Regions from separate parts of the Mus musculus genome. Here regions 1 and 2 are each reported to be linked to region 3. Evidence: microRNA targets listed by miRTarBase, many of them from high-throughput screens and not tested one by one. Region 3 holds a microRNA gene; each other region holds the end of a gene's coding sequence. Distances are between the middles of the regions.
What was found. The annotated mature microRNA mmu-miR-370-3p reads GCCUGCUGGGGUGGAACCUGGU and lies in region 3 at 1,232-1,253, shown strand. An mRNA with a match to its seed (bases 2 to 7 or 8) in the 3' UTR can be bound and repressed. Matches are read on the target gene's strand: a 7mer-m8 pairs with bases 2 to 8, a 7mer-A1 pairs with bases 2 to 7 and ends in A, and an 8mer does both.

Region 1 (4,063 bases), not on the chromosome of region 3:
GAGATGTTTACAATAGAAACCTATGTGGTCCCTTTCCACTCACACCTCCAAAAGGAGCTGTGCAAGGGAGTGAGGCATGAGGGAGGAAGGCATCTTAGTATATCAGCCAAATTAGACCTAATTCTTTACTGAGTAATGACAAAGCATACTTATGTGGTGGAAAATAAGGCTCATCTGTAGATTACACTAAATGGTATTTGGAGATGAGAAGACCATGCACCCGGAATAAAAAAGACTCCTGATGTAGGAATTGAAGGATTCATAGCGACCCTGAAGAAGGCTTTTAACCTCACTCAGAGAACTCATAACTCCACTGACCTGTTCTTAAATGGGAAGTTTCACAAAGCATCTCTGACCACTTATGGTGACACCCGTAAGAGTCACGGATAGACTACCCAGGTCAGCCTCTCTGTGCAAGAGTGGATCCTTCGAGCTGGTGAAAGGAAGCCCTGGGGATGAGATCGCTCAATCTGAGTCAAAGGCAGCTGCTACTGCCTGATGCTTCTCTATAAACAAAAGCAATCACTTCCTAGAACAACAGCAGCCCAGTTGTTTACTCTTAGGATGGCAGGACACAATCTTCTGAGAGAAAGAGAAACCCCACAGAAGAGCCATCAATCATTGTCCCAGCCACTGGCGCAAAGCAAAATTAAAAATAAAATAAAATTAAATTAAATTAAAAAGCCCTTTCTGGATCCAAGCAAGAACTGCCTGGGAAGACAATCATCTAGAAGCTTGGCTATCACTCAGAGGATAACTACTTCTCACCTACCTCTGTAGACCAACAGCCTCACCTACCTCACGTTTACTTTTAATCACTATTTTAGTCAATGTAATCTTGGTCAATTCCAAAGCTTAGCTTGGACAAACACAAAAACACATGTGTAAATGTCTACAGATCCATGCCATCTTTTAGGACTCATATGCATGTGAAGGATGAACATTTTGCTAGTCTAAAATCAGGTATCATTCCAAGAACAACCACTGTAATGACCTATAAAGGCTGGTCCTTGAAATGAGGCTGCCATCACACACGTATTCAAGCACAGTATCTATTACTGGAAAGCAGTAAGGAAGACAAGCTTTAGAAACTTCAGACTAAATAAAGTGATGTTCGCAGTGGTAAGAATACACATCTAATGCATATGCTAAGCTATTCCTTATTTATTAGCTCTCTACACTTGACCTACAGCTATTTACACACAGATAGACACATTACGGTATACATTATGTATCTTACTATAAGTCAACAAAAAGGGGGTAAGAGGACTCTAGCATTCCAAATTATTAGGACTCAGCACTAAATAAAAGGGAGAAATTCACATAATACCTCCTATTCACTATGCTATACATACAAGGATGAGGAAGCCCACTTGGCCAATGTGTCAATGTCTGCTAACTTGCATAGGAATGTGTTCAAAGGAAATGTTAATTCCTACAACTTAATCCAAATTTGGACAACCCAATATTCTGTAACTTTCTCAAAGACTGAAAGATTATCTCAAAAAGAATTGTTTAAGAGAAGACAGCCACAAAGCACAGCTATCCATCCAAACACATGGGCAAACTCTGAGTCCACATTTGGAGAACTAACTCAACTTTCCACTCAAGAAAAGGATGGCCCCTATCTACTTGGCTCCAGGTTATAAATCTCAAAATAGAAACTAAGAGAAAAATTGTACAAGGCACTCTAAGTTCTTCAGAAATGCATGCTATTCATACAGAGATGACTTTTTCAATTTCCAGACTCAGTCCCTCAGAAACCCTCCAGAAGATAGGAAGACTGTGTGTGACAATCTGTGATCCCTAACAGCACTGGACTCATGACGTCCATCGCCTGCAAACAAGTCGATGCATTACAAAAAAAAAAAAAAAAAAAAAAAAAAAACTAAGGAAAGGTATTGTTTTGTTTTGGTTATCAGGACTGAGTTTGATTGAAAAGCTATAAAATGATCTATAAAAGTAGTAATTCTCCTTAAGTACAAGGCTTAATAAAAGTCATGCAATTTAAAAAGTTATCGGCCTAAAGAAAGTAGATACAGAATTCGCTTTCTTCATCTCTAATGGAGAAGAGGCAGTGATGAAGACATAGGACTACACACACCATCCCTAGGATTTTTCTCGAATTCCTCCTGCACTATCTTCAATAAGGAGAAACAGCCTACAAAAAAAGATCTGCTGCCCATGAATGTGGCAGTTGGATACCAAGCTAAGCTAAGGTCAATATCAAGAGTCCTCCACAAGTGTGATATCCCCCACAAGCACACTGCTAAACCCTAAAGTCCCTGTTCGTGGCAACCGAGGAACATGCTGGCCATCCTACAGAAAATCTACTCTCATCAACAGTAAGACTGCCGAGTGTTCTATGACTGACAGCCACTTCGTAATGAAACATACTCATGTGCTAACTGACTATAACAGCATAGATGTATATACACAGCAAGCCTTCAAAAAAGACAGAAATAAGGAAGAGAACTTATAAGGAATGGAATTAGACTGTTCCTCTAAAACTTAACAACGTTTCACAAACTAAGCAAGTGCCAACCCCGGCACACAAGTAGTGTTGACGCTCCTCCACGATACTGAACATCTTACAATAGGACCCATTTGGGAAGGCATTTGGCAAATAAGGAATGTTAGTAAAATGACAAAGAAGCAGCTAGAAAGCAGGTAAAAAAAAAAATGATTCATCATCTACTTAGCATTAAATATCAGTCATTGCCTGGTAGCTGATAATTCTCAAACTATATTTTAAAATATTCTTATCTGATCAATAAATGTGGGGATCATCAGCAGTATTTACTTCCCCCCTAATTAAAAGCAAAATTATAGACAGACTTGGTAGTCCGTGGAGTATGATTCAGTTTAAGTAGGAAAAAAGAGAGGGAAGAGATGGAAACCAAGTCTGCTCCCCACGGCTGCTGACATTTCCATACAAGCTGTAGTACAAAAGGACCTGCAGGAAAACGCTCTTCCTTTCTCTTGGCAAGCAGAATCCGTAGACTCGTGCTAATGACCAGCCACACACACAAAGTTGTCCTCAAGTCATTAGTACACAACACATTAGACTTTCAGGACCTAACTAATCATACAGTCTCTACAAATTCATTTTTTAACTGTAGCAGGGATTAGAGACAAAAGCCTTTATAAATGAGCAAATTTCCTTCAGCAGAGGGTCTACCAAGCCTTGGCAATGTAGACAAGACACTTTACTCACGATACCTTAGCACATGTTCTGTCCTAAGTGATACATGAGAATAATTGGTCTCTCCTTACTTTGGTACAGAAAACTCTCAAACCACATTTTTTGCACAATTCACTCTGCTCTGTTTCATGTAAGTTGAAGATTTACGTTTTCCCCATCTCTGGGAAAACAGTCTTACAAATAGATGATTTTTCTGCTAAGGAGAATTTGGCTAAAACCTTCAGCGTAAACAATGCCTGGGAGGTGCGACAGTTACATTTTTGTTTTCAAAGACCAGTATTTTCTCTTAAGTGTCTCACCGTATCCTTAAGTTCATAAGGAGAAATAAACAAACATGAAAATTCCAAGTGAACACACAGCAAAAAGTCCAATGTTTAGGATCACTTTAACTTGTGGAGTCTCTTCTAACATTTGTAAACACACAGCCTCCTCATCCATCAAGTCTCTGAGGCTCCTCTTGCTAAGGCTTTTACTCTTAAAGCCACAAAACCAGTCTATGAACTTCCAATACCGGCTTCTATTTTCCGTTTCCTTCTCTCTTTCTCTCTCACCCATGAGAGCTGCTTGCCCATTGGAATAAGCATCTACTGGTGTTTCTGCCTCTGAATGACCCATGGAAGCCACTGGGTTGCCCTCTTCTCGGCATGTCACCAGCAGATTAACGTCTTCAGGTTGCAGTCCCTTAATGCTGTCTTCAGACTTCCCGTTGGGAATAGTATGGCTGATGACTTCGCTATTCTCGCTGCACTGCAGGATGCTCTTCTCTTGCATTTTGTATGGTTCGTCTTTCTGAGAACAGCTCTCCTTTGTCACCAGGGTCTTCTTTGACCAAAAGGTAGTGGTACGAATCTGATCCTT
Region 2 (4,063 bases), 110 Mb from region 3:
GTGAATCTCAAAGCTGGGATTATACTACCTATCTTTATACCCACAGAGAGGCTGGCACATGGCAGCCTGTGACAGGAATTCAGAGTAAACTAACATCCGCCATCACACCCGCACTCACTCCCTTCCCTGCCTTCCTCCCACAGGGTGTTTGGCTTCCCCGTCCACTACACAGACGTCTCCAACATGAGCCGCTTGGCGAGGCAGAGACTGCTGGGCCGATCGTGGAGCGTGCCGGTCATCCGCCACCTCTTCGCTCCGCTGAAGGAATATTTTGCTTGTGTGTAAGGGACATGGGGGCAAACTGAAGTAGTGATGATAAAAAAGTTAAACAAACAAACAAACAAAAAACAAAACAAAACAATAAAACACCAAGAACGAGAGGACGGAGAAAAGTTCAGCACCCAGAAGAGAAAAAGGAATTTAAAGCAAACCACAGAGGAGGAAAACGCCGGAGGGCTTGGCCTTGCAAAAGGGTTGGACATCATCTCCTGAGTTTTCAATGTTAACCTTCAGTCCTATCTAAAAAGCAAAATAGGCCCCTCCCCTTCTTCCCCTCCGGTCCTAGGAGGCGAACTTTTTGTTTTCTACTCTTTTTCAGAGGGGTTTTCTGTTTGTTTGGGTTTTTGTTTCTTGCTGTGACTGAAACAAGAGAGTTATTGCAGCAAAATCAGTAACAACAAAAAGTAGAAATGCCTTGGAGAGGAAAGGGAGAGAGGGAAAATTCTATAAAAACTTAAAATATTGGTTTTTTTTTTTTTCCTTTTCTATATATCTCTTTGGTTGTCTCTAGCCTGATCAGATAGGAGCACAAACAGGAAGAGAATAGAGACCCTCGGAGGCAGAGTCTCCTCTCCCACCCCCCGAGCAGTCTCAACAGCACCATTCCTGGTCATGCAAAACAGAACCCAACTAGCAGCAGGGCGCTGAGAGAACACCACACCAGACACTTTTCTACAGTATTTCAGGTGCCTACCACACAGGAAACCTTGAAGAAAACCAGTTTCTAGAAGCCGCTGTTACCTCTTGTTTACAGTTTATATATATATGATAGATATGAGATATATATATATAAAAGGTACTGTTAACTACTGTACATCCCGACTTCATAATGGTGCTTTCAAAACAGCGAGATGAGCAAAGACATCAGCTTCCGCCTGGCCCTCTGTGCAAAGGGTTTCAGCCCAGGATGGGGAGAGGGGAGCAGCTGGAGGGGGTTTTAACAAACTGAAGGATGACCCATATCACCCCCCACCCCTGCCCCATGCCTAGCTTCACCTGCCAAAAAGGGGCTCAGCTGAGGTGGTCGGACCCTGGGGAAGCTGAGTGTGGAATTTATCCAGACTCGCGTGCAATAACCTTAGAATATGAATCTAAAATGACTGCCTCAGAAAAATGGCTTGAGAAAACATTGTCCCTGATTTTGAATTCGTCAGCCACGTTGAAGGCCCCTTGTGGGATCAGAAATATTCCAGAGTGAGGGAAAGTGACCCGCCATTAACCCCACCTGGAGCAAATAAAAAAACATACAAAATGTACTGGTGCTTTCTGTCTAAGTTGCCTTTTGTGTGTTCTTTTATAAGGCCCCACCATCCCCTCTGCACATGGCAGCTCCGGTCCTGGAATGTGATGTTTTTGGTCATCTCTAAAGACTGCAGTTTCATACTTGGGAGGCTGATGACACCTTTATTATAATTATTCTTATGGTTCTGGCTATAATTGTTTTAAGATTTTCTTTCAGAAAACAAAAACCCAACACCCTTCCCTTTAGGTTTCAAACCAAGGTGCGGGGGGGTGGCAGGTGCTTTTTTAAGGACCAGTGGCTCTGGTGCCCTGGCTCCCACCCCTCAGGCCAGGTGAGCCACTGGGCAACAAGCTAGGCAGCCAGGGAGTTTGAGGCCCACCCTCCGGGCCAGTCACTCTTCTCTTCTTCTTCCCTTCCTCGTGAGTCCGGTGTGTCAGGGCTGGAGGGAGGCCGGGGCAGCCTCCCTCCTTGTGTGTGTGGTTGGAGTGGCGTGTGTTTCTTTTCTAGTGTTTGCTCTGATGGCTGTGCTCTCACTTGAGTCAGCTTCACCTGGGCCATGTGCTCGCACTTTGTTCCGCTCCCCAGCCAGGGCAGGCAGCCTGGCATTGGCAGCGGGAAGGGAAGGTGTGCTTGGCCCCAGGGTGAGGGCTTGCCTGGATGGATGGAGTGTAGATATGTGGCATATAGAGATATATATTTTATAATGGGAGGGGGGACGGCACCTCCTGGGACCAGCAGAGACTGGGAGGTGTGCTGTCAAGCACATGGTCCCAAGACCGCATCCCTAGAAAGATGGGGCCTATGATAGGCCCTATATAAATACATAGATAGGGTCATGTATAAGAAATATACACAGAGGGGGTTGGAGGGAGTGGGCTCTGTGTTGAGCCTGGGTCCTTCCCGCAGACAGCCCCACAAACAGTATATCAGTCTAACACATGCACAGGAATCTATTTCTGTCTGGATGCACACCAGGGAGCCCCCAGCACACTTCTCTGCAGGATCAGGACGATGGAGTCGGCTACACAGCTCTCTCTCGTACATCTGTTGCCCTGATGACAGGTAGACTCGATCCCAGAAGTTGCTAGGTGCTGAAGTCAGGAAAAGGAGGAGGTTTGATCCAAGCAGGTGCTTCCTCTAGCAGGTCTGTGTTGTATTCCCTTTGCCTCTGGTGATGTCAGCTTCTGTTAGCAGCCTGTGGTTACTGACCTGCAACTCTCGGCACCAGTCAAGTCAGCCCTCAGCCCCTACCTATTCTCCCCAACCAAAGTCGAACTGAAATCTCTCTTGGCCATGGGGCTTCCATTGGGAAAATAAAATGTTAAAAAAAAAATTAAAATGGGACAGTGAACCTCACTTTTGGAGTAAAGCAAATCAGTAATTAGTGCTAAAACTAGTCAGAGGCTTTGGCCCCTTGCTCACTGCTCGGGACTAAGCTTGGCTGGTGGCTTGGTACACTGCTTGGGCTGTGTAGTCCTGCCCACCTCTGCTCATTTTCTCTGGATAGAGTTTTAAGATCGCAGCTAGTTTCCCCTGCCATGGCAGGTATGACTATGGGGCTGGAGCATCCAGGAGAGGGGGATGCTTGCCCTCTTGGAGTCCCTGTACTAAATGTAACGTCCTCCCTTGCTCCAGCAGGGCTCCATTCTGACCTGGAGTCCACCAGCACCATGCAGGAGGACTGGAGGGGAGGAAGGCTGCTTTAGGCAGTCCAAGGTGCTCCCTCCCCCTCTAGCAATGGCAAGGTCTTCCCAGCTCCTGTCAGGACTGTCTTCAAAGGCCATCTCTGCCCACCGCATATGTGACGAAGCTAGCCTTTCCCAGGAGCCTAGTGCCGCCTCAGCTGGGCCTGGTGCTCCCGTGCCTGGGGTTAGTGTGAGGGCTCAGGAGGAGGAGTTCCCAAGGGACTGAGTAGAGGCTTCCAGGTGGCTGACCAGTACTGACCTGACACGGTCCCTGATGGACTCCTCATGGGGCGGGCATCGGGTGGCCTTCTCTAGCTTTCCTTCCAGCCCCATCTGTAGGCTTAGTCTTACCATAGTGTGAGGGCACCAGGCGAGTTAGCCCCCAATATCTTTTGGGGAGGGGTGTCTTTGGGACTGTGCCAATCTGGCTATTCATCCGTCTCTACCCCAAGTGCGGCTTCTAGGGTCACCTCTGAGGAGAGCTGCTGGGATGCTGGGGTAGCTGAGGGGAGGTTGTGGGGAGTTTGCAGTGCATCTAGGAACTAGCTCACTGCAGGTGGGGCTGAAGCTGGATTCAGTCATGGGAGGTTCCCTGTGGGCTTTCCTTTCCAAAGACTAGGCTTGTTTTCCCTAGAAACTAAGGTGCTGGGGACTGGGTGACAGCCACCTCTCAGCAGGTGCCGTGTAAGTGTGAAGATTTGTGAAGATCTGTGGCCCTTGCCCAGGGGAGGTAGCTGGTGCTAGCACCAGGGTCACAGAACTAAGGCCTCCTGAGGAGGCACACATACCAGCGGGGTCCCAAGCTGGTGCTAATTCCTCTCATAGGACCCAGTAAGCCCGGGAGCCTGCAGTCGGC
Region 3 (4,068 bases):
GCCACAGCCCAGGGGCCCCCCAATCCTGAATGTTACTCTGTCAGCCCATACCTTGCATTTATTCAGTCTGAGTGTTCTTTTTTCCTGGCTTTCCCCACAGGGCTGGTCGTCCTTACAGGATTTTCCCTTGTTCTCAGCATCTAGACCCGTAACGCCCACTTCAGAATGGGAGGGAGGATGTCTGCTGCCCTGTCGTCTCCACACCCGAGGAATGTCCGTGTGTGTGTGTGTGTGGTGTGCACAGCGGGCTGCACACAGCGGGCTCCACGGTGCTCGGTACAGTGTCTGCATTCAGTAACTATTGGCTAATTATGACTAATTGACAGGACTGTTGTGGGAACGAAACCGTGTGCTGAGCAGTCCGTGCTGGGTGCAGGACAAACAATGCCTGTGGCTGGGGGCCCACAGGGGGCTCGTTCGCTTGACACCTGAGGGCCCCCCCACCCCCCCCCCCCCCCCCCGTCCTGGGAGCAGCTCAGAGAACTAACTGGCTTGGCTTGGTTACTGGGAGCCTCCTTCCACTTAGAGGGGAGCAATATGCACTGGGAGAGTTTCATGGCAGTATGGGGCTGGGGGAAGTGTAACTCAGTTGAGAGTGCTTGCTTGGCGTTCAGGAAGCATTGGGTTCGAAACCCCCAGCACTGTATAATACTGGGTGCTCTGAACCTTGCACTCAAGAGGTGGAAGCAGGAAGGGTCATGAATTCAAAACCATCCTCAGGCCAGCCAGGTCTTCAAGAGACCTCTAAAGAAAACCAAAGTAAAACCAGTGATCCTACAGCACAGACTCCCTGCAATGTGGTTCAGTTTTCAGAAGTGAGTCCCTGTGGGTGGATCCTTTTTTTTTTTTTTTTTTTTTTTTTTAAAACTATGATATCTTGACCACAAAGGAACAGATCCCGGTAATGTCTCGGCCAAGGTCAGGCATAGAGTTCAGAGCATAGAGCGAGTTTGACTGTCTAATTTTTAGGAGACCTGTTGAGCAGATAGGTGTGTGGGGTGGGTGGAGCTGTGTGGGTATGCAAAGGGTGGGTGTGGCTTTGAGGATCAGTCAGTTTGTCAGTCTATCCTTCAGTCTGCCTGGTCCATCGGTTGGTCGGTCGGTCGGTCGGTAGTCCTTCAGCCTGTTGGACCCAGGAAGGTGCTGCTGTTCTCAGTCGACAAATCCTACGAGTCCGGGGCCTAAGACGGAGAGACCAGGTCACGTCTCTGCAGTTACACAGCTCATGAGTGCCTGCTGGGGTGGAACCTGGTTTGTCTGTCTGTCTGTCACCATCGCTCGGGTGCTGCTGCTGCTGCTGCTGCTGCTGCTACTGCGGGGGGCAAAGATTTGTGAAAGGGGCTTAGAGTTGCTGTGGGAGGGCTTCTGCCTGGCTTTGAGGAGAAGGATTATCTTTGCTAAGGGATCAGAGGCGTGGATGTTTGGTAGATGGGAACAGAGCACAGAGAGGCTTCTCAATTGATGTAGATGTCACCCAGCAAGTTAGAATTAAAGGCTGAGTTTGGGGGTGGGTATCATTGTGTGGGTATTTTTGTAGGCTATGCTAGCCTCATGACTGTGACCAGACGTAGAAGTAGCCAATGTGTGTGAGGACCTGGTTTCGAGTCCTGTCACCAAATGTCAAATGGACATGTCAAGCTGTATATCTTCAGCAGACCATGGGCTCTTGAAAAGCCTATTTCAAGAACACACATCTGTCTCCATGCTATGTGTATAAAAGCAGGAGGGACAAGCCATTGTTAAAAACATTTGTGTGGCCAGCAGGACAGTGGGGTCAAAAGGGTGGGGGCCATGCGTGGTTAGTCCTAAGTGGTTCGAATACTAATTAATAAGACCCGGATAAGGCCTGAGGACAAGTGTGGGCTGTGAACCATGAGATGTGTTAACTCAGTACAAGGGGCTAACATGGAAAGAGAACTCAGAGGGGAATTGGGCTGCTCATGTTATATTAAAAATTAGAAAAGAACAAGAAAGACTGTCCTCATGCCTTGGATCCATCAGCCGTGAGACTTTCAAATAAAGTCAAAGAGTGACCCAGGTCTGCTAACCTGACATTTATGAGAAAACGGGTCCAGCAGCCATTTCCTGCCATTCTGTGCCTTCATGTGGCCACTTTGGATAGGTAGCAGGCCTGGGAGGTCTCCTTTCAGGAAGTAATAAGGAATGGTATAAAGTTATGTATAAAAGAAATTATGCATGATTTAAATTAATTGTGCATAAAATTAAAGAGCCTCATAGGTAGACCCGAAGAGGTATTTTTTTTCTGTCCTGTTGGTTTAATTGACAAATAAAAATGTATGTATTTAAGCTCTGATGTTTTGTGCCTAGTACCCCACTCTGTAATACTTATGTGGGAGGAGAATATCTTGGACCCTCCGTGTTAATTCTCAATATACGTCACTGTTGACTAGAATTGCCACTCTGTACGTACATTAGCCACTGAGAACTTAATATTCTTGCGAATGCGAGTTGTATTGTCTGACCCACTCCTGTTCCTCACACCCACTGACCTCTACCAACTGCCCTTCCACTCTGAGTTTGTGTGAAGTTATTGAGAGACCAACCGCAGCCGTAGGCCGTGAGTAAGATGGCCCCCGCGTGAGCAGAACTGTCAGGGGTACTGCTCTGTTTGCCTACTTCAACTGAATTTGGCCTGCATTAAAAGAGGAATTAAATGAGTCAGTAAATAATGGCCAGGTGACAGGATCCCAGGAGTGGGCCACTAAAAATGTTTTTTTGACCAAAAGGTTAATTTTTATTCGTTGATGTATAATTGTAGCCTTAAAAAACTTCTATTTTACCTCTATGTACTAAGATGTGGTGAGATTCGAACTAGGCTCATCTGTGTTTATTGTATTTAAAATGTATGAAAACACTGGGAAGACCAAATAGGCAATGATGATGAGATTGTATCTGTAATCAAAGATGGCTGTGTCTCTTACTCTGTACTGGGTCTGTTTCAAAAAGGGTCTGTTGTTTCCTTTGTGGTCAGGACATATAGGATCAATGTTTATAAAAAAGAACTGCTTTGGGGTTGGGGGTTTTTTGGATAGTGAATTTGTACACATTCATTAAAATGATAAGAAATGATAAATGAATGAATGAATTTATGAATGAATGAATATGTGCTTGGGCCTGTATGATGATCCTAGATTAAGATAATCTGCCCTGCTCACTAATGGCTTTGAAGCAAGTGTTTCTACTTCGTCCTTTTTAAATATCTGCCTTGTGTTCTACAGAATGGAGGCCCTAATGTGAATGGAGACTAGCCTGCTGGTAGAGACCTTGGCAGTGACCGCTGTGGGCAATGAGCCATGGGCCAACAATGTGAGTAATGGCTAGTTTTGTTATTTTGAACTTGGGTAGTTGGCTGATGGGTGTTTATTGCATTATTAAACATGATTGAGTTTGTAAATAAAACCAAAGATGGCCAAAGCCCTAGCCAGTGTGGAGACTGTCATGAACCAAGGGTAATTAATCCAATTAGGCATAATAATTACCGAATTAGAAGTAATATAGTAAGCTATTTCGTATGGGGAAAATATCAAAGGAAAAGGGAATTTCTTATGCTTGGGTGATAGTTCAATTGTTCATGTGCTTGCCTTATAAGCAAATGGGCCTGCAGTTGATCTGGTGGCCATATATAAAAAACTGGTCACGGTGGCATTCTTAGAGTCTCAGTCCTAAGGAGGTAGAGACAGGAAGACCTCTTAGGTTCTCTGGCCAGACAGATTACCCTACATGGTGTGTTCTAGGCCCATGATACCGTATGTCACAGATAGTGCCTAGGGGACAACTTTCAAGTTTGATCTCTGGCCTTAATATGTATGTACACATACGCACCTGCACAGAGTGAGCACACCACCCAAAAGAAGTATGCATATGCTTATTTGCATACACCCATACGGCATATGTGTGTCATATGTTAAGTGTTGCATATTCTTTTATCGTTCTCAGGGTGGGGTGTTTATGCATCTTCATGATATATTTAAAATTTGATGCCCTTATAAAACAAAATGAATGGGCTAAAGATGCCATGACCTATGCTTCTCATCTAGACATGTGCTT

Region 1: miRTarBase lists Slc5a3 as a target of mmu-miR-370-3p. The part of its 3' UTR that is shown has no 7-base or 8-base seed match.
Region 2: the mRNA of Dnmt3a is a reported target of mmu-miR-370-3p. Seed matches in the 3' UTR shown: 7mer-m8 at 914-920, 7mer-m8 at 3,155-3,161 and 7mer-m8 at 3,879-3,885.

What each region holds. Positions count from the first base shown.
Region 1 is chr16:92,078,668-92,082,730 of GRCm38, reverse strand. Slc5a3 (solute carrier family 5 (inositol transporters), member 3) reads right to left here. Exons shown (of 2, transcript NM_017391.3): 2 at 1-4,063. The coding sequence ends at 3,518. The region is part of intron 1 of Mrps6 (mitochondrial ribosomal protein S6); the gene reads right to left. Among named protein-coding and RNA genes, the nearest start is that of Mrps6, 22 kb to the right of the region's middle.
Region 2 is chr12:3,907,463-3,911,525 of GRCm38, forward strand. It overlaps Dnmt3a (DNA methyltransferase 3A), which reads left to right. Exons shown (of 23, transcript NM_007872.4): 23 at 144-4,063. The coding sequence ends at 285. Among named protein-coding and RNA genes, the nearest start is that of Gm31623, 15 kb to the left of the region's middle.
Region 3 is chr12:109,617,074-109,621,141 of GRCm38, forward strand. It overlaps Mir370 (microRNA 370), which reads left to right and starts at 1,185; the gene lies at 1,185-1,263. Rian (RNA imprinted and accumulated in nucleus) reads left to right here. Exons shown (of 21, transcript NR_028261.1): 3 at 138-276; 4 at 3,240-3,327.